Cricetulus griseus: one gene and its partners. The protein of the gene in region 1 interacts with the protein of each later gene in a pairwise test. Links are inferred from orthologs where the notes say so. Each region holds a gene or a part of one and is shown in the gene's direction. Other genes may lie near its edges. The genes, in order: Kash5, Galnt2, Nrip3, Nsg1, Gosr2, Tmem11 and solute carrier family 41 member 2.

Region 1 (4,139 bases):
ACCTGGAGAGAGGAAAAATGGTTCAGTGGTTAAAAACACTTGCTCACTTCAGCTTGATGGCTCAAGTCTTTAATCCAGCACTCTGAAGCAGGTGGATCTCTGAGTTCAAAGTTGGGCTAGTCTTCATGGCAAGTTCCAGGCCAGTGAGGGCTACAGAGGGGGACCTTGTTTTGTTTTAAAAAACAAAGGCTGAAACAGTACTCTTGAAAATCCCAGCACCCATGTGGCAACTCATAACCATCTGTAACTCCAGTTCTAGGAAATCTGATGCCCTCTGGCCTCCAAAGATATCAGACACACATGTGGTTCATACACATGTAGACAAAACACTCGAATAAAAAATAAAAATAAACCTAAAGGGGGAGAAAGGCAAGAAAGCAGTCCTGATGAATCAGCTTCCTGATGAGGCAAAGAGATGACAAATTCAAGGCCAAGCTGGCCATATTAGGGACGTTTTGTCTCAAAATGAAAAGGCTGGGCTGTAGCTTGGCAGTAAAGTGTCTATCTGGAATTGACTAGTGGGGCTGGTGTGTGGTTCAGCAGGAGAGCACTTGCCTAGAATCCACCAGTGAAAGATTATTGACAGTGTGGCTCAGTGACAAACGAGTGTGGAGGCAGGGAGAGCAAGGCTGAAAGTGGTTCAGACGGCCAGCAGTCCAAATTCGGGATAAAATGGGCAGTCTCCAGGCAGTGTGGGAGCCAGTTCAGCTTGGTATTCAGTCCCAGGCAGAGTGAAAGCTGTTTCTAGATAACAAGACACAAAGGCAAGGCAAGTCCCAGGCAGAGACCACAGTAGGAGTAGTGGGTTAGAGTTGCTAGAAGATAGAGCATGATTTGGAGAGAAAGCAGCTGGCCCAGGCCACACTGTGCCTCTGTTGCCAGAAAAAAGCAGGCTCTGCCTCAAGGTGATGGGGAACCATGGCCAGGCAGATCAGCTCTGCAGCCTGTGGGGATGCACTGGAGCCTGGAAGGAGGCTGGGACGTGGGCCCAGGGAGAACAAGGACCCAAGGCAAGATTGAGGACGGCAAGAGGAGCACAAAGTGGAGTCTCTAGGACAGGCATGATGACTTGCTAGGTTACAGGGGAGAGAGGTGGCCACAAGCCCTAGGGGCAGCAGTTGACCCCACCCTCTTGTCTCCTGCTTTGATCTTGCCGCCTGCTCCCCATCCCATACCTCAAATCCATAGCAACAGGTTGGAGTTGGGATGGGCATGGCAAACAGGTTCTGAGAACCCTGGGGCAGAGATGGAGCAGTTTAGCGGTGGCTAGTCTGAGGAAGCCATTACTTTGCTTGTCCTTCTAGGAGCTGTCTGGGCAGGCTGTTCCTTTCCCAACCCTCCTATCAGTGGAGGAAGGGTGAGAGCTTCACCAGCTGCAACAGAGAAACAGGAGTGGTCCATGGACCTGCCAGAGGACCCGGCTAGTAGTTCCACTGCACAAAGTAGGTGTCTGCCTGGAAGAGGAGGAAGTGGGAGCTGCGGGCCAGTGTGGGAGCAGGAGAGGTGGCCAGGCAGCGTGGTCAGAAGCAAAGGATGGTGGGAGAAGTGTCGATTGTGTGCTTGCCACGTGTCTGTCCCCATTTGCTCCTCTCTGGAGGGCTATTGGGGACAGAAGGCTGTGCACATGGTAATATCCACACCATCCCACCTCTTCCCACCAATTCCTCCTCTGTTCAGATCGTGGGCTAGTGAGATCTCTTACTTGGGGTAAAACAGGTTCCCTGCCCCGTCTCTTCCTGCTGCACTTCTCTTCCCAACACTGGCATCTGTCTGTCACCTACTTAGTCTAAGACTCTCCCCTGGAGCATGGCTCCTCAAAACCTATTCTACTCCCAGTGTGTGTGTGTGTGTGTGTGTGTGTGTGTGTGTGTGTGTGTGTGTGTGTGTGTGTGTGTGTGTGTGTGTGTGTGTGTGTGTGTGTGTGTGTGTGTGTGTGTGTGTGTGTGTGTGTGTGTGTGTGTGTGTGTGTGTGTGTGTGTGTGTGTGTGTGTGTGTGTGTGTGTGTGTGTGTGTGTGTGTGTGTGTGTGTGTGTGTGTGTGTGTGTGTGTCTTACAGTGCAGGAGGTGAAATCCAGGGTTTTGTGTGTGCTAGGCAACCAATCACCACTGAGCTATGTTCAGCTGTGCTGACCTCTGGGTTTTTGGTTTTTTGAGACAAAATCTGGCTTTGAACTTTTCACCCCTCTACCTCTGTTTCTCAAGTGTTGAGATTACAAGCATGCTCTCCACCATGCTCAGCTCACATATATAACTTTTAATTTTTTTAAAAGAGAAAAGCTGGCAAGGGGCTCATATCTGTAGTCCTGGAACTGAGGGGCTGAGGCAAGAAGATAGAAAGTTAAAGGCCAAATCAAGCAGGTGATGCAAATGGTATTAACTGATTTTATTTAGCTTTGTATGCATATAAACTGTTTTCTGCATTAAGCAGCATAAGAACATGCTGAGTTACTCCTGTTTTCCGACATCTTTGAGAACTAGTATGTGATGTTTCACACTAACACTGTTCCATCTTGGCCTGCTCAAGTGCAGGCAGCCTGTGCCGACTGGTGCTGCTAGCCAGAGCAATGCCGGCTTCATTGTGGAAGCTCAGTGCCTTGTGGGCAGATTCAGATACGTAGGTGTGGGAGCCAGCACACATCAGCTCAGGGAGGAAGGTGCTGGCTAACCGACTGTCTTCTGTGGGCCAGCCTCTGTCTCTGTCTCTCACTCCTGTTCTCTTTCCTGCCTATCTTTGTCTCTGCCCTGACTCAGCAACTCTGTTCCCCAAGAAGCTCTCTCCTTCCTCTACTGTCCTGGTCTCCCCCCTCACCTCATCTCTGATTTCTGACTCTCCATCCCCTGAGGATGAGCTAGAAGGGAAAGCCAGCCTCTGATTAAGAAGCTCTTTCCTCTAGATAGTCAGTTGGGGTCACTGCTGGAGTATCTTGTCTTCCAGGCTCCTGGATGTTTACAGGCAGGCCTGCAGCTTTGCTCAAAGCTGAGATTTGCACATCAGCCTCAGGAGTAACCTCTGCAAATAGGAGGGTTTTCAGGCAGACCAGCATGCCAGGACTAGAGAGAGGGCTGCCTGGCTTACGGGGAATGACCGCCATCTAAACCTCGCCTGCACCAGCAGAGGGCGTGCAGCCACCAGGAACTAGGACCATAGCCAAGTCAATTCCTGAGACTGCCTTTGGGAAGGGAATAACTCAGCCACAGGAAAAGCAAGGGATAAAAGACAGAGATGGCAAAGTAGAGAGAAGGCACTAGGAACAGAGTAACAAGATGGAAGACAGGAGAAAACAGGATGGAGGGACACAGGACAGAAGCTGGACATGTGAGAGAGGTTGGGGAAGAAGTGGAAGAAATATCTCAAAAGAAGTAGAGCTGGGGACCCAGCAGAGGCCGAGGCAGAGGCAGGTGGGTCTCTGTGAGTTCAAGGCCAGCCTGGTCTATAGTCCAGCAGAGGCAGAGGCAGAGGCAGGTGGGTCTCTGTGAGTTCAAGGCCAGCCTGGTCTATAGTCCAGCAGAGGCAGAGGCAGAGGCAGGTGGGTCTCTGTGAGTTCAAGGCCAGCCTGGTCTATAGTCCAGCAGAGGCAGAGGCAGAGGCAGGTGGGTCTCTGTGAGTTCAAGGCCAGCCTGGTCTATAGTCCAGCAGAGGCAGAGGCAGAGGCAGGTGGGTCTCTGTGAGTTCAAGGCCAGCCTGGTCTATAGTAGTTAGTTCCAGGACAGCCAGGGCTACACAGAAAAAACTTTTCAGAAAAAAAAAAAAGATAGAAGCAGGGGCAGAGCTGTGAAGTGGAGGAGGAAGGAGAGGGCAGAAAGAGTGTCTTAGGGTAGTGTCTCTATGTATCAGTGTCCTCACTGGGCCACAGAGTCCTCCTTTGTTACACTGGATGATGAAGAGCAGTAGACCAGCTGAAGTCCACCTCCCCTAACTATCCTGGGCTCCTAGAGCCCTCCCATGGGAGCCAGAAAAGGTCCAAATCAAACTGGTGCAATGAGTCCTGAAGTGTCAGGGGGAGAAAGGGGATTCTTGTGCTGGAAGGCAACTGTGGCAGCTTCTGTTGCTCTGCCTCAGACTCATCTTTAGGAATAGCAGCTGCTGTGGTTCTGATGATCCATGAGTGCCTGTAGTTATGTGCCAAGCAGAGGCCCAT
Region 2 (3,544 bases), on another chromosome or scaffold:
CTCCATACCCAGGGTCTACAGGCCAACAGCAGCAGCATGGGGATGTCCACGGCTCATGTGAAGTCATGGTTGAAAGGAGCTGTCTTGTGCTCAGCCTTGAAAGTAGCCTATCTGGCCTCCAGGCTGCCCCTTGGTAGCTCAGCAGATGCCCTGCCCAGAAAGCTCACTGTTGAGTCTTCCTATAGGCACATTCATAGGAGTTTTCTTTCTGAAATAGAGGTCTTACTCAAAGTTTTGTTTGATGCTAGAAAAGTTGAGAACCCCCTGCATCTGTTCAGTTGGAGCTGGCCTCATAATGCAAGGGGATTGGTTAATGGAATCTGTTCTTTCCAAGGGAATTACTCCTATGACTGTAGCTTGCCCTCCTTTCTCTCCACTCTTGGGCAGGACTTCAGACAACACTGACCAGGTGACATTCAGACTCCCAGCATTGCTGCCATGATAGCATGCTGGTCTAGAATATTTAGCTCTCCATTGACTTTATGGTTTGCAAAGATCCTGCCTCATTTTTTTTTTCCTGTTTCCCTTCGGAGGTTCTCCTGGTTCTGTAGATTTCTCATCATACCAGCATGTGCTGATGGGGATGGCCTATGGCCTAGAGAGAAGTTCGTTCTTCTATGGTGTCTTTCAGAGTGGCACTTGTTGATTTTCCTGTTTAAACTTAGTTGTCTTGCTCAGGTTAGGGGACTGTCCCTGGCCTTTACCTTGGAACTTGGTTGGTACCTGGACCTGTTGATACATGAGAGCAATAGGCAAGGATTCTCCCCCCACACTACCACTACCACCACCCCCGCCCCAAAGGAAAGCCCAATGCATCCTGCCTCTTGGTTAGTGTGGAGGATCAGGGTCTGTGCACTCATCTCCAGTTGACAACTGTGGTGTTACTGGAGTGCACGTAGTCTTAGTCTGGGAGACATCTGCTTTCAGACCAAAAATCATCCTTTGGAGACGTCCGGTCCAGTGGTTTCCATGCATGTTCAATTTTGGGTGTGCTGTGGAGTTGGCCTATCTGGGATTCAGCCAGCATTTCCTCTATAAAAAGTTCCAGATCAGGTTCTGGAGAAGCAGCCCCTCATTGGTTTCCCTTGGCAGTTGAAAGTGAACTATGGTAGGTGGCTAGGGCAGGGGTAGCTGTGCCATGGAGACAGCAGCTATGACAGACTGATGGTTGCCAAATTTTCTTACCAGAGATCTCATTCCGAGTGTGGCAGTGCGGTGGCAGCCTTGAGATCATTCCATGTAGCCGTGTGGGACATGTGTTCCGGAAGCAGCACCCCTACACGTTCCCGGGTGGCAGTGGCACTGTCTTTGCCCGGTAAGTAGTGAGAGGCCAGACCAGCTGTCTGCTTAGAAGACACCCCGGAGCTGTGTGGGGACAGTGTCCTTTGAAAGGCATGGCCCCCAAGCTGAGAAAAGGTGCAGTAGCTAGTGCGCGGGTATTCTAATGAGAAAACTCCAAAACAGTCTCACTGTGCCCCATGGAGGTCTCAGAAAGGCACTGTGGCAGGGAGGGGTGCAGATGTGGCCACTAAAGGTGGGGTAGCAGGGGAGTTAGCACTGGGACATCAAGGAAAGACTACCATGTGATGATCACAAATATCTCAGAGAGGCAACTGGTTTTGTGCTGTATCGCACTCACAGTGCAAATAAGAGCAGTAATTTGTTCTTCCTTCATGTACTGCAGTAACAAGTACTGCTGGCTGAGTCATCATAAAAGCACCATTGTTGGCTAACTGTCCTGATGGCAACACATCTGGAGCCAAGGTGTCCACTCCTGCCAAGGGCTGTCCTAGTGCCCCACATAGTAAAGGGTAAGAGAGGCGAAGGGCATACCAGAACAGCCACAGTCTCGTGACAGTAGAGCTCCATGGCCTGGCCACTGCTTGAAGTTCCTGCCTCTTGGTGTCATTTCAATACAACTAAATTTCAGCATGAGTTCTGAAGGAGCAGACATTGAAACCATATCAGAAGGCAAGTCACACTGCACTCCAGCCAGAAGACATCATGGCTCATAACTGATTAGTGATTGGCAATCAATGTTAGTAGACAAAAACTGAAAAGCTGCTTGGTCTAACCAGGTTTTTCCTGGGAATCTTTTCCAGTTCTAACATGGTAGCACACACCTTTAATCCCAGTGCTCAGAAGGCAGAAGCAGGTGGCTGTCTGTGAGTTTGAGGCCAGCCAAGGTTACATAGTGAGGCCCTGTATAAACAAACAAACAAAAAAATACCAAAAAACCTGAGTCAGACCTCATGGGGGCACAGTGTGGAATTAGACCTTCAGGAGCAGACAGCAAAACCTCTAAGCCAGACAAGATGTTTCTAATGCTCGTCTGGTCAGCACCATGGGGAAATGCAATTGGGCTAACTGGGACAGGTTTGACAGATTAAAGGCACTCAGAGCTCCCTGTGGAGATGGCACGGGAGTCCACTGGGCTGCTAACGTTGGGTGTGTTCAGACTGTCAGACCCAGGGGAATATCAGTGCTAGAGTCTGCAGGATGTTTCAGAGGATCTGTCCGTGGTCACTTGCCTGTGTTTCTGGACCTGTTCAGAGACAGGAGCTGGTGGCAGTGCCATGTCAAGAGGCCTCTCACTGCTTGGCAGATGGGAAGTGGAGGGCAAATTGGGCATGCCTCCACCCCCTACCTTTCACCATCTCCAACATCACCACCATATTGTGACTCTACCTAAGAATATGGCCATTGGTTAGGTCAGAGCCTTGATGTAATCATTTCTGCTTCTCAAAGACAAACCCAGAGACCCAGGGGTGTTTCATCATCTGGGCACTTCTCAGTGCAAAAACCTACATGTCTACATGTCCACAACCATTCATCAGTTTTTCCACTGTACACTGTGAAGTGAGGACATTTTCACATACATTTCATTTCTGGTTATTGACCTTGAGGTGAATCTCCAGGGTTAGCACCAGGAGTCCGAGGATGGGCACGTTTGCATCTTGTCTCAGTGGCAACAGTCTGGCCCCTCCCCCAGTGAGGGACAACAGGAATATTTATCACTTTATTGGGAAGATGGAGGCCCCACATGGAGATGGATTTAGTAATTACAGCTCAGACAGTGTGACAGGTTCAGCATTTAAAAGGCTTTACTGCAGAGAAAAAGCTTTACCTGCAGGGTGACCACTGCCTGCCTGCCGTGCTCATTTTGGAAGAGCATGATAGGCCATGTTTCATGTAGCAGAGGGTCTGCTGGTGTCTGTGCTTACAGTGGCCCTTCCTAAGTGTTGTGGCTGCAGGCTTTCTTTATGAACCAGAGGAACCCCACACCTGGGCTACGATGTCCCCACCTCTTCATGCTGTCATTTCTAATTTTCACATGACTTCCCTCAGCCTCAGCTGAGGGCCAACTTCACTTCCCAGTGTGTTAGTGGTGCTGCATCCCCTCACACTGTGGAGGCTGGGGCGCTGGAGTCTCCTGCTGTGGCCTCCATGGCACAGCAGGGATTTTGTCTCAGGAGTGTCTGCACTGTCCTTGCAGCTTCTGCCCGGGGATACCTTGTGCTGTAGTGATTGATGGTGGTTCCAT
Region 3 (4,027 bases), on another chromosome or scaffold:
GTGGATGATGGTGCTTGGGGAATACTTTGGCAGCACCGTGAGCAATGGAAAGGAAGGAGTCAGGGACATTCTGGAGGCAGATTGGGTGGTTTGGGCATTTGCCTGTATAAAGAGAATAGTAATGCTATCTCATAGCTGCTGTCCTTCATTAAGATGCTGCCTTGTAAGTGTTCATTATAGTATCTAGCTCGCAACCACAGAGCTCAGGAAAGTGTCGTTATTGTGACTAAAAAGTGCTCTCAGGGTGCAGAGCTTTCTGGTTCATGCCTGCTTCTGTGAGGTGGAGAGAGATGTTGTGATTTCCCAAACATAGAAATGTGATTTGTATTAAGTCATATGTCAAGACTCCAACCCAGAAGGAACAATGGCTAGAAAGTATGAATGAGTCTCAAAGAAAAACAGCTTTTAATTTGCCCACAAGGACGCATTCCACTTCCATCCCCAAATGTAAAGTCTAGCGTTTGCAGAGAAAAATAGGTGCTTTCTTGGTGTTCGTAAGAGCAGGTGTACTCCCTGGCAGGCAGAGGTTTCAGACCAGCCCTGCCTCCCCATCTCTGGTGCTAGGCTCCGGAACAGAGGGTACCAGGGGGCGGAGGGTCCTCGGAAGGCCCCATCCAACCCGTCCTCCTGCCCCCCTCCTTGTCACGTGCCCCTGTGGGTGGGGACCGACCTGAAGTTGGAGGAATCCGTAGCTCTCCCAACTTCGGAGCACAAAGGCTCGACTCTTGAGAAGCTGAGCATGGCTCAGTTGTCAGTGATCCCTGGATCGGCGTGGACAGGTGAGCTGAGAGTCTGAGGGCGGCGGCTGGGGTGGGAGAGGCTGCTAGAGTACAGGGCCCTACAGCCCATCCCATGCAGGGCATGCAGGGCATCCCACGCAGGAGAGGGGACAATTGTGGGAAGCGGCCCCTCTGGACACTCAGCGCCCCGCCGTCAGTCGGTCCACCGCGAGCTGCTCCTGGCTGGCTTTTTCCTCCGGGTGGGTGATGAAGTGGAAGTAGATGATTGACACTAGACACCACGCCCCCCCCCAAGGTGCACCAGAGGGCGGGGCGCTGTGCCGGCCACGCCCTCTCCTCGCGCACTGGCCTCTCCCCGTGACGTCACGCTCGGCTATAAAAGGCGCGGGAGCAAGGTTCCCACAGCGCTGTCAAGGAGCTCGAGGCTGAGGGTGCTCGGGGCGGGGAGACCCGGCCGCCGGGCCGCGGGCGCCTCAGAGATGTTTTACTCAGGACTCCTCACCGAGGGCGGCCGCAAGGAGACCGACATGCGGGAAGCGGCTTCCCTGCGGCAGCAGCGCCGGATGAAGCAGGCGGTGCAGTTCATCCACAAGGACTCCGCCGACCTGCTGCCCCTGGACGGCCTCAAAAAGCTGGGCTCGTCCAAGGACACGGTGAGCTCCCCACCCCGGCCACTCCTGCCTCCGGCCTTCCTCAGGCCGCCACTGTCGCCCAAGCCCTCGCTGCCGCTTTCACTGAGTCACTGTCCGCTCCCTGGCGGGTGCTCGGCAGAGACCCTCCCTATCTCTCATCCCTGGGGACCTCGTAGCTTTCCTCACTCATTCTCTCTCGTCGCAGCCTACTCCAGGGAGCCTGGCTTTCTCCTCCCCAGGACTAGGAAGAAAGACACCCTGCCCGGTCCTATTGCCCTCAGATTTCCTTTGCTCCGCTATTCCGATCTCGAATTTGGCTCCCGGGGCTGGAACCTCACAGCGAAGTCTCAGCTCCCACTGCCTCCTCGCAGGCTGCATGGCCAGTCCCGTGTCCCAGACAGAGGTGACTCGTAGTGGATGACTGAGAAACAGCGGAAAGCGAGGTTTCGTGACAGTTGCTGAATCTAGATGACTTTGGTTGTTTCTACTGCGCCCCGCTCCCTGCCGCCCAAATCTATTTAGTTTAGTTTTGGCCTTAATCTACCTACCTTTGATTTTCTACCCTGAGTAGGGGTGGGGCAGGCAAGGGAAAGGCGGGGCGCGGGGGGGGGTTGAGATTGAATATTCCCAGAACCTGAATATCTCATCACTCTCATCTCTCCCTCTTCTTTAGTCCTCCCTCTGAAGAGTGAATGCTGATGGCTCCATCTCACAGACCAGCTAATGCATGCACATAGTTGGAGCTGGGGTTGGTGCAGTCTTTTTATTTCTGGCAGGATTATTCTTGGTATTAAGTAGAAGTCCAGGATGTGGGCCAGAATCCAAAACCATATTGTCCTCCATCTATTGAATAGGGGTGAATGGCTGAGGGATATGACCTATATTTAATTCTCATCCCTTTCTCACAATTTTTTTTTTTAAATCTAACTCTGTAGTTTCATCTGGAGTTTGCTTTTGCTTGTATTTTTTTTTTTTTTTCTGAGACGTCAGGGTCTTGCTATATATAACCAAGGCTGGCTTGGCCTTCAGTACATAGCCCGAGTTGGCCTCTAGTTCTGGATCCTCCTGCTTCAGCCCCATGATTGTTGAGATTATGTAGGTATGCATTACCACTCCCAGCTCTGATGGTTTCCTTGTATCTATAGTTTCCTTATTATCTGCAGAGAAATTTGTGAAACATTGTCTTTTGCAGAAATAAATGCTCTAGGTAATCTTTCTAGTATTTTTATATTTTGAGCTTCTGAAATACTTAATTTTGAATGTGGTTGTTGGCCCTGAATCATTGAAATTGCTATTTCTGGCCCCAGTATGGCAATGAAGGCCAGTGCTTCTGCTTTTTTAAAAAATAGTTCTACTGATTCATCAGTACCAAAGATTTTCCCTTCCTACCATTAGATACTCTCATGAAGGGAAAGAGCTACTCTAGTTATCTTACTCGGTTTTTCTAAAAGCTGTTTTCCATCTTGAGCCTGGGTATAGTTGATCTAGTCATGCTAACCCAGAGTGATGAGTGATGTTAATCCTATCAAAGAGATAACTCTTTCTTACCTTCTTGCACTTAAAAGCATTCATGACTCATTTGGCAAACTCAGTTTGAATCTTCTCTCCTTCAGACCAAAGTAATCCTATTCAATAAGGTGGGAGGTATTATGAAAAGAATTAAAATGTGGACGTTTAAAATGCTGGATTTAAGGTATAGATGTTTGGTTTCCCTGGGTGGCTATAAGGAGTTCCCTGATGAGAATCACAACATCCTTCTTCCTACGATTCCTTATATGACTTCGAACTATGTAAGGGTAATTCTGTTCTGACTCCCTTCATCACAGCTGAGCCACGAGGAGTGGATAGCATAGAGCATAGTTGAAGAGGTGGCTTTCAGGGTGTAGCCATTGGCATGACACACAGCAGTTGACTGTGAAACCCTGAACTATGTTTCACACTTTCTGTACCCCCATTTTCATAGTTAATCTTCCTCTAGCACTGTTCTCACACCTTTAATGTGCAAGTTATTTAATGTGCAAGGAGGAACCAGAAAACATCACAGAAACCAAGGCTGATTGAAGGAGGGCAAGAAGATGCAAGTGATGGGGAGAAACAGCATCTTTGGAACTGATGTTGCAGGCTCAGTACTGTCTCAGAAACGATTTTAGAAACATATTCTTATCAACTCATTTACAGACAAGATAGATCATGCTGACTCCATTTGGAGGGTATTAAAATTAACAGTAGTTTTTACTTGAGGTAGTTTATCAAACAGCCCCAATAGAAAGGGACAAAAGGAAGGCATAAGAGGATACAAATTCAGCTTTTATTGACTCGGGCTTGAGCAGTGTTAAGACTGTATTATTTTTCATCATACAAGTATCTTATGTTTTAATTATGCTGCTGACTTTTCTGAATTATCTACCTTGTATTACGCTGTTTCTGCAATGTTTACGGTTTGATATTAACATTTTTGGTTTGGCAAATGGCATCTGTAAGGCAATCAAAGATAGCCATGTTCTCTTGGCCCCAGGATAGTGCCTTTACCCAATTGCTTTGTGTGTGGAGTTGGCTGCTACAAAGTCTGCTGTGGAAATTAATCATATCTTATTAATCTGGCTCATTTATTTTTGTCATTTCATTGTATTTGGATTTTTGTGCTAAATTAAGAAT
Region 4 (4,332 bases), on another chromosome or scaffold:
TGGGAGCTGATGCTTTGTCCATGGAGGGTGGCAGTGTGTCTTATGTACTTTGCATTTCCTGTGCCTGTTATGGGGTCCAGATATAAGCAAAGAAAACCACACAGAAGGAAAGAGCAATGCCCAGGCCAACAAGCCACAGCATAACTGTAGCTGTCTCTAGGATAGCCTGGCTCTTGAAGTCTTAGAGGTTGAGGGCGTGACCAACCATATTGCTCCTTGGATGGGTCCTGACTCCAGAGTAGACTAGTGCTGTGATTTGAAAACAGCTCGAGTCTGAGATGGAGATATAGCCACTCTCTTGCACAAACTAGGCAGCCTGACTGGTAGGCACCCTGATGCCTGCAGGCTGGTGCCTGGGTGTTTTCTAACTCCCGTTCTCTGCTGTTAAGAGGGCAACAAGATGTCACACAGGTACCTTGGAGGCCCTTCCCTCTGCCTCCTGGAAAAGCACTCTAGAGAGAATTCTGGGCCCTGGTCAGGCTGCCTTGACTCAAAGGCAGCCTTGAACTTGCCAGAAGTCTGGGTAGGAAAGCCCTGGCAACAGACCCTCCCTCCCCCTTTAAAGAAGGGGCTGTCCAGGAGAATTTGGAATCTGGACCCATAGGCTCTTCCTGAAGGGTCTGATTTCTATTATTTCTCAGGGTCCCCTGAGAATGTTTAGAACCCAGGTAAGAACCATGGGGACATGTAAGTTCTCAGGGTGCTGCTCCTCGTGCACCCTCAGCCCCACTCCTTTTGTAGCTTCGCTCCCATATCCAAGTAGCTTTTCCTTCCTGCAAGCAAGTCTGGCTAGAGGTCTGTTAAGTGCAGTGGCCTTTATCTGCGCAGCTGTGACATCTGCCTGGGGCACTAGTCAGGCACTAGAACTTCCGTTCTTCCTTCTGAGTCTCAGTACCATCCAGGCGAGCTGAGGCTGCGGTGGGGAGATCCTTGCCTTCCCTGACCGCAGACAGCTTTGGCTAGCCTGCCTCTCGTGGTAGCACCCTAAGCTCTGAACACCTGTCCTCTTGTCCTCACACCCCAGGCATGCATCCGTAGCCATGGGACAGCACTAAACCTCCCTCTTTATATTTATAGAGACACGCCCTCGTTTTCATCCCCCTCCAACCCAGCCTCACACTAAGGGCCACCTAGGTCTGTCATCCACATTGTCCTCCGAAAACCTTCTTCATCCTTCAGGATCCTCAAATCGGCTCCGCGGTGTGCCAGAACCCTCTCTCCCTCCCTTTGGGGCTTCCTGGCTTCCCTACATCTCCCACTTCCCTTCCCTTCCTCCCTCCCGACAACCCTGCACTCGATCATCGCCCCAGGGTTGTGCATACCGCTGGGGGATACCCCAGCTCGGCATCAGGAGTCTCAGGTTCTCCTTCCCCGGGTCTAATCGCGCGTGGGGTCCCCCTGGGGACCCCCCACTGCAGCCGCGTGCTCCTTTGTGCAGCCGATCCGCGCGCGGGCGGCGCTGCGTCAAGGCGGAGGCGCATCGGCGCGGCCCCACGCGCACTCCCGCGCGCGGCCCCCGGGAGCGGCAGGAAGGAGGCGGCGCGCAGAGGCGGGAGGCGCAGAACCCAATCGTTGATCCCCCGGCCGCGGCGCCGCCTCCGCCATTGCCGCACGCGGGAGCGGGCGACGCGGAGCCTCGGAGCGCGCTCAGAGCCCATACTTGCCGGAGCCGGGCGTGGGGTGAGTGCGGGTGGGGAGCAGGGTGGGCGGCGGAGCAACTCTCACTCTGAGGGCCGCGGGAGACGCGCAGGAGGCCAGCGCCGCGGGACTGGGGACGCGTCCTGCAAAGGCTGGGCACGGGTGGTGTCCCCTAGCCTGGCCGTGATGAGCCCTGCCCTCTGCGGGATGGGCGTCTAGAAATGCCCACCAATACACAGCCTGGAGACCCTGATCTGGCTGCGATCGCCGCGTCCCTGCCACCTCTCTCGGGAGACCAGGCGGGGCCAGCGGACGCGGGGCCAGCGGGTGGGTGTGCGGAGTCCTCCTGGCTATGCCCTGCCCCGCCCCGGCTGCCGCTCGCCCTGACCCCCACCCGGCCCTCCCTCCGCAGGCCGCAGCCTCGAGTCTTTCGCAACCATGGTGAAGTTGGGGAACAATTTCGCAGAGAAGGGCACCAAGCAGCCACTGCTGGAGGATGGCTTCGACACCATTCCCCTGATGACGCCCCTCGATGTCAACCAGCTGCAATTCCCACCCCCGGATAAGGTATGAGCCCCCGACATTCCCGCGCTGCTGGGTGTGCACCCTTAAATCTTCAGCTGCAACCGAAACAAAAGAAACGCCTTGTGCGCTTTGGGGATGAGAGGTGGGGGCGGGCTCAGCCAAGAGGAGGAAGGCAGGGCGAGCACAATGTACCCTCATGATTCTCGGTTTGGTGATGCTGGAGGCCCCCTGCCTTAGATGACATCTTCTTCTTGGCAAGATTCTTTAGTGGAAAGCCCCCTCTTGACTTTGGGGGAGTCTTATGAGGAGCAATGTTTGTGGTACAGGAGTATGGGGTTCAGGAGTGAGCCCAGGGAGCTGGTCCTTGTGCCTTTTGGGGGTGGTGCAGTTTCAGCTCCACTTGCCTTACTGGGTGTGTGCTCAGGAATAGAGCCTTTTTCCTCTTTGTTCCTTTTGTGAAATCCCCATATCTGAGCTCCGACTCACTAATGCTAGTGTAACCAGGACCATCTTTACGTGATGCATTTTTTTTTCTGACTTATAAAAGACTCCCCTCTTGAGTACTACATCCAGTGGGGTATCATTGCTCCATAAAGATATTTTCAAGCCATACCATTTAAAAGCAAATTCTATCCTTAACATAGAAGATAGCATTGCAATACTCTAATGTAAAACCACACGCCCTGCATCTACAGTCCCTACACACAAAGGGGCTTGCTCAAGATTCCCACATGCTTTTACATTTATTGTCTCAGTTCGTTCTTGAGAAAGAGGCTCCGACTCTGGGCTCTGCATTCACTGGGCAGTTAGAATGGGGTGTAAGAGGGAGCTGCAGTAGGGTCTTCTTTCATTCCCAAACTTAGCTTCCCAAAGTGATTTTGTCTCCTTAATTCTATTGTCTGGGTTTTTGGGGCGGTGGGGTGGGGGTGGGTGACATGGGAGCAGGGAAGGGACTGGTTGCAGATGTTTTCATTTGAGAAGGCAGGATCAGCTGGTTATAGCTGTGCACCTCACACCACGGCTGTTGGCTCAGGCTAGCCTTCATAGGAGGAACAGAGCTATCGAGTCTGTGGCCTCCACCTTATGGTGGGGTGTCAGGACTCTGTCCCGAGTACTTCTACCCCTCCTACCTTGATACACCCAGCCGAGGAGCACCAGAGGTCTGCACCAGGAACCCTGTGTCCTGAAGTGGCACCTTTATCAGGTGATTCCCTGTACTTGGCCCAAGCCTCCTCTGTTGCCTTCAGTGTGTTCCGTTCCAGAACTGCCTGGCACGGTCCGCCACAAGGTGGAGGGCTTCAGGCAAGTCCCACATTCTGCCAGCCAGTCTTGTTGCTTGGGATTAGGCTAGCTGGCTCTGTAGGTAGAGTCTCCTCTCTTGGGGTAACTGATGGGGATGCTCCAGAAAAGGGCATTCCTGTAGGAACAGGTCCTTGAGCTAAAAGGGTTCCAAAGTCACAGAGGAGGAGACAGACTTTCAGAGTTCACCAAATGCACCCAAGGTCATCCTGCTGAAGGTCACTGGCCTCCGGGGTATGGAAATCCCTAGCATGCTTAGAGTTGGACTCTCACACTTGACAAGAGTCAGGGAGGTTGGGGATATGACTTCCCAGTGTGAAGACCTGCCAGTCACATCAGGAGCAGCCATGCCTGACATTCGTTAGGGACACTTGCCATACCAGGCACTGTTCTGTGCACTTCATTGGCTGAACTTCAACATGCCCACGTTGCTGCAAGGCAACCGCCACCATTGCTCTCATTTGATAGACGTAGCAATGATGGCCTAGAGAGTTCGAAAGGCTCTGTCCAAGGTCACTTGTCAGTTAGTGGTAGATGGAGATTGAATTCAAGTGGCCTAGATGTCCTCACCCTCACAGTTCTGGATGATATAGGCCTTTTGCCCTCCAGGTTATGGATAGGACAGGAAGAAGCCTTCTGTATTCATGGTCAGGTAAAGTGGCTCCCAAATGTGTGCTCAAGGTCACAAGGCTACATTGGTGCAGCTGGGATGTGAGGATGGCAGGGCAGTGCTCAATGCTGCCTTGAGATGATGCCTTCAAGGAGTGGATACCCCTGTCTACTGCAGGAGAGTGGCATGCCAGGAGTGAAACTTGATAATACGCACTGAAGTGCAGGGCTTTCTGGCTCAATGCCAGGCACAGGCCATTT
Region 5 (4,297 bases), on another chromosome or scaffold:
TCTCTCTCTCTCTCTCTCTCTCTCTCTCTCTCTCTCTCTGTCTCTCTCTCTTCATGGTGGCTAGAAATAGCACATTCAAAAAGTAAAGGACAAGAACAGATATATAGTTACTGGGCCCAAACAGGGGCTTGTGTTGTATGAATACTGTAAGGAGTCCTTGCTGTATTTATTACAAAATAATTGAGTATGAAGATTCCTCTTTTCTGTTATTTATCCTTACTGTTCTTCATATGGGGCCATGGATTTTGTAATACAATTTAAAAACAAAAGACCTACATAGCAAGGCCCACAAAAATATTTACCTAGGGCCCCATACGACCCCAAAACAATTTTACCGGTACATACAAGTACACATATTTCCCTGCATTTTCCTCACCACTGAGGTACTAAAAATATAATAAAGTAGCCCTTTATCTAATGATCCCCAATCGTACTGTCCAATCAACTATAGTTGACATGCAGCCGTCCCACCCTCAAACCTTCCATTGATTCTTGAAGGCCCTATACCCATGCTTCTTGATTCCTGGATCCCTCTAGCTCCTCTCCTGGGAAATGGTCCTTACATCAGTGATAGCCTAAATGTTGCTTGCTACTAGGCCTCAAGGTTATGAACCTTGTCAATAGACAGTGAGAAAGAGAAACTTCAGGAATGTGTTTTGCTTGTGTTCCTATCCCACGCGTCTGTGCATGGCACACAGTAGATGTTCAGTAAACATCTACTGTGTGGGAAATTTAATGTTAGGGAAAGAATGAAAACGGGCAGGCAGTCTCTTGGGACACAAAACTGGGAGGGATGCGGGATACAGAAAATAGAAGTTACAACTCACTAAAGGAAGAGGAACAACTCCTCCCTTGGGAGGAACTGTAGATAAGCACCTAGATGGATGGAAATGAGACGGGCCTAGGTGAAGACAAGTGCTTGAGCCCTTCCAAGTCCTCCTCCAAATGCCACCCGCCCTTCATGTCTTTTAAAAATTTCCCATCGACGACAGCCCCAGCTCAGTTTATTATCTTTGCACTTATTGAGGTTTTTCTACCTTTTGGAATGTTTACTTGTATACAGATCGTATTTCCTTTTCTAGTCCGACCAGGAGGAATTTGGTTGTTCCGCGTCACACAGGACACATGTTAAACGCGCACTCACTGTGTGTGGGCTTAACGGAAATCAACAGAAGGCGATGGGAAGACTAGTGGGCAGACAAGTTCGGGACAGGAAAAGCATTCGCGTTGAGGAGGGAAATCGGCTCAGACCCGAAATCACACAGTGAAAAAGCCGAGCCGGAAAGCGCCAGCGACTTCTCCCTGAGGCTCTGACGTCAGTACCCCGCGACCGTCCTCTCCGATACCTGATTCAAACCTGAAGCCAAGCCCCAGCAGAAAACTTCCCCGGGGCTCCGCGCCGGGCCAAGTGTCGAGCCACACCCACCCCTCGCGTACGGCTTTCCTTTCTCGCAACCCCTTCTCCGACCTCACAACCACCTCGGGTCAGGCGCACCAGCGGACGCCCTACTCAGGAGGGCGGGTCCTGAGACCGGAAGTCGGAAGCCGGAAGTGGGGCTGTGAGGACGTGTTCCGAGGAAGCCGCAGGCCGGCTCGGCCGGCGTCATGGAGCCGCTGTACCAACAAACGCACAAGTGAGGGCTGCGTTGGGGAGCGGGCTGGGCTCGGCCGGGTGGGCGGCTCCCGGGGCTCGGGGCTTTGGCGACTGCCATGGTGGAGGTCGAGCGTTTCCGCCGGGGCTGCTCCGCATCTCTCAGTCCCTTGCGGGATGTCTGTCCTCCGCCGCGAGAGGGGGCCGGTGTGGGCGCGAAGCTTGGGCCGGGTAGCTCCTGCTGCAAACCGTGACTGCCTGTTGGGAGGGGAAAATAGCAACACACAGGTTATAGTGCATTGTCCATCACCTGCCAGCTTAGTCCTCCGGGTTGGTAGAGCTTCGAGAACAGAGGAGCAGTTGACGAAGCCCGTGTCCATGAGTTCATTGCTTAGTGGGAGTGTCAGGGGCTGTGCGAAAAAAGTGTTTTGTATTCTTGGTTGGACATTAAAGAACACATTTTCGTGCCACAGAGAAATACAGGTAACCTAGACTATTATTGTTAGTCATATTGGGTTACAAGTTAGCTTTAAGGAAAGTTGAGTTTTAGATTGTCTGTTCATAACTAAATTAGTTTCCGTGATGTGCCCTTTATTCATATTGTCCTGTGTTTTGGGAACTTGCTGTGTTATGTAGCTGGACATGATAAGGGCCATACTTAACGCCGTTTTAAGGCCTTTCTATTGATTTTATAACAACACCGAACTGTCATACACCCTGGGTCTGAAAATGAAATAAGCTAGTCAATCCGGCCTCCTTGGTAAACTCATAACAAAAGGAATGGAAATAAGATCGTGGCTATTCTTTTTCTTTCTTATATTCGAAGTTTATGGTTCTCTTTTTACTTTGCCAACAGAGTGATTTGGGAGAGGGAAAATTCGGAAACTACATTATAATGATAATTTGTGTATTATGTAAAAAGGGTAGGAAGAGATTAAAAAAATAGCCCGAGAACCGATCCTTTACATGGGCCTAGCAGTGCATTGAGGTTAATATGCTATTTGCTGAATTGACAAAACATACATCAGAACATACTCTCTAGAACATCTCTCTAGAACTTTGAACCTAATCTGTGATTATCTCTTATTGTGAAAGTACACTGACATTAAATCAATTATTTAAAGTCAGATAACTGGAAAAGTCCCGAGCACCAAATGAATGAAAAAAAAAAAAGATGAAAAACAGGACATTTTATACTTCAGCATTTGTCCACTAAGGTGAACTTTATGGAGAAGCTAATCGCCAGGCTTCCATTTTTGAGATACTAGTGTTTGTAAAGATGGTTATATTTGTTCTTTGTATTGTCCAGTCTGCCATTCTGGATCTCATCTCTAAACAATGCAGGTTAAGTAGGTCTTAGATGCAAACAGCTCTGTAGTGAACAGGCTTTCCAGGTGGTTTTAATGAGTAGTTTGTTTTAAGAACTATTATCTCAAGACCAACTTGTCAATTTGCCTTGTGGGGTGTAAAAACTAGCTACAGAGGCAGAGTGGAAGATGTGAAAATCGTGTGTGTGTGTGTGTGTGTGTGTGTGTGTGTGTGTGTGTGTGTGTGTGTGTGTGTGTGTTCAAGACAGGATTTCCCTATGTAGCTAAGATTAGCCTATAACCTGCTGTGTGGCTCAGACTGGCCTCCTGCTGGGATTATAGATGTTACCACCACTTATACCCAAGTGCTAAGACGACAGGTGAGCACCACCACACGCAGGTTAACCCACTACTTTATTTGTTTGTTTGTTTGAGATAGAGTCTCACTGTGTAGCCCTAGCTGATCTGGAACTCACTATAAAAATCAGGCTGGCCTGGAACTTACAGAGATCCACCTGCCTCTGCCACTTATGTGCTGGGATTAAAATGTGTACCACCACAGAGAAAGATGAGTACCACCTATCTCAAAAAACAAAACAAAAAAAAGATGTGTACCACCACTACACTCATTACTTTAAAAGCAACAGCAGTTTAACTTGATGCTGCTGAGGTTACACCTAAACATTAGTTTCTGTAAGCTCTCAAATTATTGTTAACCATTAGCAGCTCTGTATAGTTAAGACAGAGGCACCAAGGAGTTAAATGACTTAAGTGTCTGTCATCTTGCATAGTTGAACTAGATTTGCAACTGAGAGCCTTTAACTCCCAAGCCCTATCTTGCTCATGGTGGTTAGAGGCAGTGAGCACACAAAGTCACTGTGTATGGTGGAGGTGGGTAGGTAGTTTCATGACCTTTTCTTCCCCACTTGGTTCAGTCCCCAGGCTGTTCTCTAACTCAAAATACTCCTGCTGAGATTATAGATATTACCATCACTGGGCCCAACAGATTCATTGACTTCTTATTTATTTTTTATTTATTTATTTTTGTGTGCATTGGTATTTTGCCTGTATGTATGTCTGTGGGAGGGTGTCAAATCCCTGACAGCTGAAGTTACAGTTGTGAGCTGCCATATGGGTGCTGGGAATTGAACCTGGGTTCTCTGGAAGAGCAGACAGTGTTCTTAACCTCTGAGCCATCTCTCCAGCCCTGATTCATTGACTTCTTTAAAGAGCAATTTCATTTAGAATTCTTGCTACAACCTGTGTAAAGCTTTAAAAAAAATAACAGCAATGCTTCTTGCTTAATGTGTACCTGCTCTTTGCTTAGCTATATTGTCACCCAAGTCCATGGTGGACCCCATGTTACAAAAGCCTGAAACTTCTTTTTTTTCTCATGTCT
Region 6 (4,274 bases), on another chromosome or scaffold:
CTAGAACCTCACAGGCATCCTAGTAAAGGGCAGACCCTCCTGACCAGCTGCCACTCAGCCTCCCAGGTTAAATGTAAGCTTGGGAGCCCCTGGTCAATGCATAACTTTTTTTTTTCTGCTCATGTCACAATAGGGCAGAGAAGGGTCCAGGCTTCCCTGGGCCATGAGTATAGATCACCATAGGTGGCAAAACCATAGAAAACTGAAGGATGCTGGGAAAGGGAGCATGCCCCTGCACTATTATCAGGGTTTCTCGAGAGCTGAGGGCTTTCCTACCACTTTGAAATGCTCCTGGGAAAGTGAAAGATAGTATAAATAAGGAAGGGGAAAATGGGAAATAAAAAATAGCACAGATTTACCTCCTGGATGAGTCACAGGGTCACCTACTTAGGTTTCTAGGTTCTTGTATCTCAGGACAAAGAATTGTATCCGAGATAATAGAAGCAATTCATTAAAAAATTTACAAAGATACTCAGGAGCTTGGGAATAGGCTAGTGATCTGGTTAAGACTCATAAACTCAAGTCCTTAGCCATAATCTCATGAACCCTTTATAGGCCATTTCCATACCACCTGCCTTCTCTAGGCCAAGTTTGTTTGAGTAGCCCAGGCGGGGAAGGGTTTCCAGGCAATTATCAACTGGCTTTTTCATACCTTATTCTTTTTGTCTTTTTTCTTTTTCTAATGCGTCTGGGTGCTTTACCTGTGTATTTGTGTACCTCGTGTGTGCAGTGCTCATGAGGCCACAAGAGGGCCTTGGATATTACTGGATTAACAGACTATTGTTAGCTGCCATGTGCCAGGAATGGATCCTGAGTCTCCTGGAAGAGTTGTCAGTACCCTAACTGTTGAACCGTCTCTGCAGTCCCTCATACCTTATTCTTGATATCTTTTGCTACACGTTCCTAATTTTCTGCCACACTTGCACTGTGCTACAGTTTGGCACTTGGAGGCAGGGTTGCAGCATTCAATTTGAAAACCAGGAACTTCCTAGAAACCACACAGACCCGAGGTCTTGAAGCATAAAAACTGGCTGGGAGGAAAAGGCATTTTGGGTCAAGCACATCTACAGACCCTCAAAATCTCTGAATTTGCCAGGCTGGCAAGCTCTGGTCAGGAGAGAGGGGCAGTTGACACTGCGGAAGCAGAGGTAACCTTCAAACTGGGGGAGCACGAGTTCTAGACTGCAGATAAGAAGAGAGAAACGGAGGAGGTTAAGCTGCTCAAGTCATTGTAAAGTGTGGGACAGTTGAAACGCAGGCCCCCAGCGGCCGAGGCCACAGTGAAGGGCAAGAGGGCTGAAGCCAAGGGTTGGGCTTCTCAGGCCCTGAGGGCGGGGTCGCCGCGCGAAGCGCTCTGGGAGTGGTAGGCGCTTTCATTCCGCTCTCCTTCAGCCATTCGCTCTGGGCGCCCAAGGACGTCCAGGCGGTGGGCGCAGCAACTCGCACACAGCGACTCGGAGACTCTTTCCTCAGGCGGAGCCCACCTTTTGCCCTCTTGCGCGCGGCAGTTTACAGCAGGCTTCCGGTGTGCGGCATTGTGGGCGTTGTAGTCCGCTCGCAACCTCCCACTGCGTACGAACGGCTCACCGGACTACGTTTCCCTTCGGCCCGCGCGCACCCCGAGCCGCTTCGGCGCCAGCCCCCGACGAGCCGAGAGTCTCCAAGATGGCCGCGTGGGGAAGGAGGCGTCTGGGTCCGGGCGGCGGTGGCTCCCGAGAGAGGTGAGCTGGGCTCGCGACTGCAGGCAGCCACCGACCTTAGAGTCGGCGAAGCCTCTGTGCCACGCGCGACTCGGGGTCGTGTCCTGCCGCACGCGGGGCCCAGTCTTCGGGGCTCTGGTGTGGGAGGAGCGGGCCGGCGCGACGGCCGAGGAGCGCCGGGAGCTCGACTAGGAGGGGTAGCGGCCCGCACTAGGCGGTCTGTGAACCGGGGTGAGCGACTGCGAGGGCCGCCAAGCTGTCCTGCGGAGCGGCGTGCGGGCCCTGGGTCGCTGGCTCGCGCACGTGGCTGTCTGGGCCTGGGCGCCGGACGTGGCGTGGATGGACTCTTGGAAGAGGAGGAGGGTAGAGCGGTGTGCTTCTAGGGGCGTTTGCTGAGAGCAGCAGCGTGCCGGGCGCACCTCCAAGAGCCTGTGCTTGGACGCCTTCTGAGCGGCAGTCATCGCCACTCTTAGAGGGTTCGCTGCAAGCGCTTCTGCCCTAAGTCCTTTAAAGTGACCTTTTCAACAGAATGCGTTTGGGGGCGCTAGGGGTTTGTTTCTTCCAGTGATTTCCGAAGATGAGAGTAGTTGGCGTGTTTCATGTTGAACTTTTGTAGGCTTTTCCTTCTGGGAAGTGTTATTAGCTAGTAGGTTACTAGAAACTGTTCAGTCGTTAGAAGTTTGGGGAGATGGGTGTATATCGGTAGAACTACTGGATTAAGCTGCTCAGTCCGTTTTGCAAAGGCCTCTGCATTTTACTGTAGATGTCAGTAGAAAAGAAAGTTGGGCTTTTTTTTTTTTTCTTTTCCGATGAGTACTGTCAAACATAAAAGTTCTGTCTTCACTAATCTGCATTGTTCTTTTTTGTCTGATGCATCCCATGTACCTTGCTTTTGCTTAGAGAACTTTCCCATCCCACACAATTCTTCCTGCTTGGCAGTAGTGATAGCCTTGGTTTTATTCTTGATTTCAGTTAGGCAAAATAATCTATTGTGCATTTACTGTTCCATGGAAAAGCAATGGCAAAGAGTAGTTTTTCTAACTTTCACTTATTTCTTAGATAAGAACATCAAAAGAGGTTATTTTGTTGTTTTCCATGTCCTTAACACCTTAAGGGATGCTTTCAGACTTTTAATTTCAGCCCCTTAGTAACAGGAAAGAACCTTCCTAGAAGACCCAGTGTCGGACAAAGACACTTTTACTACTCCTGTTGTTTTTTAGAGGCAGGGTCTCACTGTGTAGCGCTGGCTGTCCTGGAACTCACTCTAGTTGAAGTTTTGCTTGAATTCACAGAGATCAGCCTGCCTCTGCCTCTGCCTCTGCCTCTGCCTCTGCCTCCCAAGTGCTGGATTAAAAGTGTGAGTCACCAAGCTCTAGGATACTCTTTTTGTTGTTGTTGCTTTTTTTCCCCCTGAGACAAGGTTTCTCTGTGGCTTTGGAGGCTGTCCTGGAACTAGCTCTCATAGACCAGGCTGGTCTCAAACCCACAGAGATCCTCCTGCCTCTGCCTCCCAAGTGCTGGGCCAGGCGTGGGTCTCCACCGCCTGGGTGCTCTAGGATACGCTTATTCTTGGATACAGACTGAAAGGGCCAAACATGGATGCCTCAGGCATGGGACAAGAGCCTTACACTGTAGCCTTCCTAAGAAAATAGATACAGAGAACTATTTTTCCTTTGTCTTGAAACTAATATTAGTCAAAAATAGTTTGTCAGTCAGTCCTTGATTGAGCTTCAACAGCTTTTAAGGGAATTTAAATGAAATGCAGAAAGATTTTGAGGTAAAACTAGATAGTAGTTGACACTCTTCAGAACAGCTTCTCTTTAGTTCCTCACCTGACAACTAATTGAGGTTATCTGTATGGGGCCTGTAGGTGTTCAGGTTATGACCTTTGGTCAGGAACTGCAGTTTCTACCCATGTGTGCAGATGTTGTGTATCTACCAGGAATGGGGTGTCAGATTTTGTGATTTGAGAGTTGCCATCTGCTCTCCTAGATAATATGTAGTGACTGGAGGCTTCCCCTCTATTTGCCTTTGTGGGAAAGTCCTTGCCAAAGGACTCAGTCTCAGGATCCCATCTCCTTAAGGCCCTCCCACTCTGAGCAGTGTATGGAAACAACCCCACCTGACTAGCAAGCTGACTTCTGGGCACACCTCCATTCCAGCTCACTTGGTGGCCTGACTGGGTGGAGCAGGTCAGAATAATTGTATACTCAGCACCATAGATTATGAGGACTGAGTGTATTATTGGCTCTCATGACATAAGTAAGCTGTTTATGGCTCCTAAGTGACTTTGTTCCATGTCACATTTGGACTGACTCAAATTTCAGCTTCATGTTAAGAGTACTTCAGAGTTGCTCACACCTTGCTGCCTGCCCTATGCTGAAACTGATGGAGATGCAGGGTAGTTTGTGGCAAGGGCTGGAGTGGGCATTGCTTTGAACAGACATCATATTGGCAGTGGCTGCATACTCTGGAGCATATGTTGTATTTATTGCCTTGCGTAATGCTGATTGTCAACTTAGTGTGCATTGGTTCTTGCTCTGCCTGCTTCTTAAGTCCAGAAACACTGGCTAG
Region 7 (3,544 bases), on another chromosome or scaffold:
TTCCTGAGAAACATCTGAGGCATCATGAAGTTACTGTGCAGTTAGGTGCTGCCAGGGGGGGCATATATGGCCTTGCAGCTCAGTGCCAGTTGGTGACTAGCTACACTAGCTATCTGTGTGTATCTTTTGAGACTCTAGTCACTAGCTAACAGTCAGAGACCTACTTGGGGACATTAGACCCTAGAAGACTTGAGGAACACGGAAAGGCATTACCAGCTTTGTTTTGGTTGGCTTACAAAATGGAGGACTGAGTATTTATCGTTATTTTTAGTTATGTCCTAAATAATCTAAGGAATATATATATATATATATATATATATATATATATATATGTGTGTGTGTGTGTGTGTGTGTATATATATATATACACATATATATATGTGTGTGTGTATACATACATACATACATACATACATACATACATACATACATACATAGGCTTTTCAAGACAGGGCTTCTCTGTGTAACGGCCCTGGTTGTCCTGGAATTCACTTTGTAGACCAGACTGGCCTTGAACTCACAGAGATCCACCTGCCTCTGCCTCCCAAGCTCTGGGATTAAAGTTGTGCGCCGCCACCACCCAGCTAAGGAATATATTCTTAAGTCAATTTAATGATTGTTTTGTATATGAGAATGATAGATGACTCTAACCTAGTTTTATATGTGGACTAAATGCCCTGTACTGTATTCAGGATACCTATAAAGTGTTTTTACAGTAAATGTCATCTTTGTCTCTTCATATTTTAATGAAAAATGTGTAATAACCTATAAGTAAAGGAATATGGCTTATTAGTTAATACAGTATCATGGTATATACTTTATTGTGTTTTTTATATTGACATGTATAAGTGGCCGAGACTACTTATTTATTTTGGTGCTGAAACTCAGAAACAAGCACAATTTAATTTTGAGTCCTCTCCATAGTGATAGGAGCTTCTTTTCCTCCTCCTCCTTTTGGTTTTGTTAGAAAGAGGGTCTCATTCTGTAGCCTAGGCCAGTCTCTATCTTTTGGCAGTCCTCTACTTGGCCTCCTAAGTGCTACCACAGGAGTATGCCACCATGTGCAGCAGATGCCATCACTTTGTATCTTAAATGTATCCCCTGTAGAACTTCAGAGGCAGTCGAAGACCTCATATGGGCTTCAGTTACATGAAACGTACAAAAATAGAAACACTTTTACCCAAGATAGATTATAAAATGTTTACACATTTTGTTTGTTTTGTCCTTTTTGAGGCAGGATCTCGATGTGTACTCCTGACTGGCTTGGAACTCACTGGCTTCAAGCTTAGAGATCTGCTTGCCTCTCCCTCCTGAATACTACTAGTAGTATTAAAGGTGTGCACTACCACACCTGGCTTCTGCACTGTATTTTTATTAAAAATGCAGTTGTGTGTCACAAAACAGATCTGTGTCCAACTCTTGGAATAGAGTATGGCTCCTGCACTTATATGAAAATTAGTATAAGTGTGGTTAATCTAAGTTTTTGTTTGTTTGTTTGTTTTTCAGGACAGGATTTCTCTGTATTGTTTTGGAGCCTGTCCTGAAACTCACTTGGTAGGCCAGGCGGGTCCTGAACTCAGAGAGATCAGCCTGTCTCTGCCTCCCTAGTGCTAGGATTAGAGGCATGAGCCACCAACGCCTGGCCTCTAAGTTTCAAATTTTATTTTTTCCTTTGCAGATTGAATCCCTCTCTGGAACTGGTAAATGTTTTTTACCAGAGGAAACGTTTCCTGTCCAGTAAAGTCAATGGCTTAACTTCGGCAAATACTGGTGTGACTTTGCTTCTGCTATGCTCCACGAAGCTTGAGTCTGAAGGATACAGTGCTTTTTGTGATGACAATATGACTCACAGTAAAGGAAGATCTGTCACTTGCAAGACAAGTGGCAGTCCAGATAGTGGAGGAGGTTTTGTAGATTGGACTTTAAATTTAAACACAATTCAGTCTGACAAGTTTTTGAACTTACTTTTAAGTATGGTGCCAGTCATTTACCAGAAGAACCAGGAAGACAGGCATAAAAAAGCAAATGGCATTTGGCAGGATGGACTGTCAGTTGCAGCCCAGACCTTCAGCAAGAGGTCAGAGCCACATCTGGACTACCACGAGTTCTCAGAGCAGGCTTTCCACAGCAGCAGTGGGCATGCTCCAGCCAGCTGCAGCCCCAAATATGACGACTATGCCAGCTATAACTACTGTGATGGGAGGGAGGCTTCAGAAACCACAGCCATGTTACAGGACGAAGATCTGTCCAGTGAGGGTGATGATGTTATTGTGGAAACAAACCAGAAGCTACCCAAGGAGTCTAGTGGCATCATGGCTCTGCAGATACTCGTGCCATTCTTGCTGGCTGGGTTTGGAACAGTCTCTGCCGGCATGGTTTTGGACATAGTACAGGTGAGTTTTCATCTTTAGTTTCTGTGTGCGTGCGTGCGTGCGTGCGTGCGTGCGTGCGTGCGTGCGTGCGTGCGTGCGTGCGTGCGTGCGTGCGTGCGCTTTTGCACATGGGCTCCAGTGCACTAGAGGCCAACCTTGGATGTCTTCCTTAGTTGCTTTCCACTTGTTTTGTGAGGCAGGGTCTCTCACTTCTACCTGGAAGTTACTGACTCAGTTGGCAGCTGGTGACACTCTAGGGGTCCAGCCTGTCTCTGTCTCCTCAGCATTGGGATTATGAGTGTGCCACTGTGCTTGACTTTCTGGATTTTTAATTCATTCATTAATTAATTTGAAACAAGAATTTCCACATCTCCCTGGCCATCCTGGAACTCACTATGTAGACCAGGCTGGCCTTGAACCCACGGAGATCCAGCTGCTTTTGATTCTGCCTCCCAAGTGTTGGGAATAGAGGTGTGTGCTATCCCTCCCGACTAGCTTTCTTTTTTGTCAACATAGGTTCTGAGGATTGAATCTAGGTCCTTATGCTTTACTCGCTCCAACCCTTCCCCTTCTCTCCCCTCCCCTCTTTCTTCCCCTCTCCTTCTCCTCTTCCCCTCCACTCCCCTCCCATCCTCTCCCCTCCTCTCCGTTCTCCTTCCTTCTCTTTTCCTTTCCTCCTTCATTGCCCCTGTCTGTCAATAGGGTATTGTAAGACCCCCCCCCCCCCGGAAAGCTCAGGCTTCCAGTATCTTAGCCCAGGACCAAGGCCACCTCAATCACTAGGCTGAGTCGAAAGCTTGATGCAAACTGCATGAGGCTTTATTATTGTTTAACTAGCTAACCCCATGTTAGCTCTGGTCTTTCACCCATCCACCATTGTGGATGGCTACAAAAGACAGTTCGAAGCGGTTGCATAGAGATCTTATAGGGCAGCGTAAGGGGAGTGTCTAGGGGTATGCACAGGCTCAGGATTGGTGTGCCTCCAGGCTTGGAGTGCTTGCCCTGTGTTGATTGGCCAACTGGTTGTTATGGCCCATAGGTCCTCCCAGGGCAGTTGCTATGCTCTGCATGTCATTGCTGTGCGCTTGTCAGTAAAGCACACCCAGAGCCATAAAGCATAGCACCACCAGCTAACTTCTGATTGGTTCCTTGCCACAAGGCAGGCATCTGAC

What was found.
Region 2: the proteins of Kash5 (region 1) and Galnt2 interact in binary tests that used the Homo sapiens proteins (3 or more experiments, as listed by UniProt). The two-hybrid records come from large-scale screens. The link is inferred for Cricetulus griseus from reciprocal best matches to the Homo sapiens genes KASH5 and GALNT2.
Region 3: the proteins of Kash5 (region 1) and Nrip3 interact in binary tests that used the Homo sapiens proteins (3 or more experiments, as listed by UniProt). The two-hybrid records come from large-scale screens. The link is inferred for Cricetulus griseus from reciprocal best matches to the Homo sapiens genes KASH5 and NRIP3.
Region 4: the proteins of Kash5 (region 1) and Nsg1 interact in binary tests that used the Homo sapiens proteins (3 or more experiments, as listed by UniProt). The two-hybrid records come from large-scale screens. The link is inferred for Cricetulus griseus from reciprocal best matches to the Homo sapiens genes KASH5 and NSG1.
Region 5: the proteins of Kash5 (region 1) and Gosr2 interact in binary tests that used the Homo sapiens proteins (3 or more experiments, as listed by UniProt). The two-hybrid records come from large-scale screens. The link is inferred for Cricetulus griseus from reciprocal best matches to the Homo sapiens genes KASH5 and GOSR2.
Region 6: the proteins of Kash5 (region 1) and Tmem11 interact in binary tests that used the Homo sapiens proteins (3 or more experiments, as listed by UniProt). The two-hybrid records come from large-scale screens. The link is inferred for Cricetulus griseus from reciprocal best matches to the Homo sapiens genes KASH5 and TMEM11.
Region 7: the proteins of Kash5 (region 1) and solute carrier family 41 member 2 interact in binary tests that used the Homo sapiens proteins (3 or more experiments, as listed by UniProt). The two-hybrid records come from large-scale screens. The link is inferred for Cricetulus griseus from reciprocal best matches to the Homo sapiens genes KASH5 and SLC41A2.

Annotation. Positions count from the first base shown.
Region 1 is NC_048599.1:154,093,319-154,097,457, reverse strand, and holds the start of Kash5 (protein KASH5), read left to right. Parts: upstream 1-1,321; 5' UTR 1,322-1,399; coding exon 1,400-1,442; intron 1,443-4,139. UniProt on the Homo sapiens protein: As a component of the LINC (LInker of Nucleoskeleton and Cytoskeleton) complex, involved in the connection between the nuclear lamina and the cytoskeleton.
Region 2 is NC_048596.1:201,041,089-201,044,632, forward strand, and holds part of Galnt2 (polypeptide N-acetylgalactosaminyltransferase 2), read left to right. Parts: intron 1-1,188; coding exon 1,189-1,315; intron 1,316-3,544. UniProt on the Homo sapiens protein: Catalyzes the initial reaction in O-linked oligosaccharide biosynthesis, the transfer of an N-acetyl-D-galactosamine residue to a serine or threonine residue on the protein receptor.
Region 3 is NC_048596.1:90,942,957-90,946,983, forward strand, and holds the start of Nrip3 (nuclear receptor-interacting protein 3), read left to right. Parts: upstream 1-1,219; coding exon 1,220-1,393; intron 1,394-4,027.
Region 4 is NW_023276807.1:107,106,775-107,111,106, reverse strand, and holds the start of Nsg1 (neuronal vesicle trafficking-associated protein 1), read left to right. Parts: upstream 1-1,521; 5' UTR 1,522-1,680; intron 1,681-2,050; 5' UTR 2,051-2,076; coding exon 2,077-2,205; intron 2,206-4,332.
Region 5 is NC_048600.1:116,738,659-116,742,955, reverse strand, and holds the start of Gosr2 (Golgi SNAP receptor complex member 2), read left to right. Parts: upstream 1-1,481; 5' UTR 1,482-1,605; coding exon 1,606-1,634; intron 1,635-4,297. UniProt on the Homo sapiens protein: Involved in transport of proteins from the cis/medial-Golgi to the trans-Golgi network.
Region 6 is NC_048600.1:74,863,467-74,867,740, reverse strand, and holds the start of Tmem11 (transmembrane protein 11, mitochondrial), read left to right. Parts: upstream 1-1,457; 5' UTR 1,458-1,665; coding exon 1,666-1,721; intron 1,722-4,274. UniProt on the Homo sapiens protein: Plays a role in mitochondrial morphogenesis.
Region 7 is NW_023276806.1:152,039,093-152,042,636, forward strand, and holds part of solute carrier family 41 member 2, read left to right. Parts: intron 1-1,678; 5' UTR 1,679-1,841; coding exon 1,842-2,393; intron 2,394-3,544. UniProt on the Homo sapiens protein: Acts as a plasma-membrane magnesium transporter. Can also mediate the transport of other divalent metal cations in an order of Ba(2+) > Ni(2+) > Co(2+) > Fe(2+) > Mn(2+).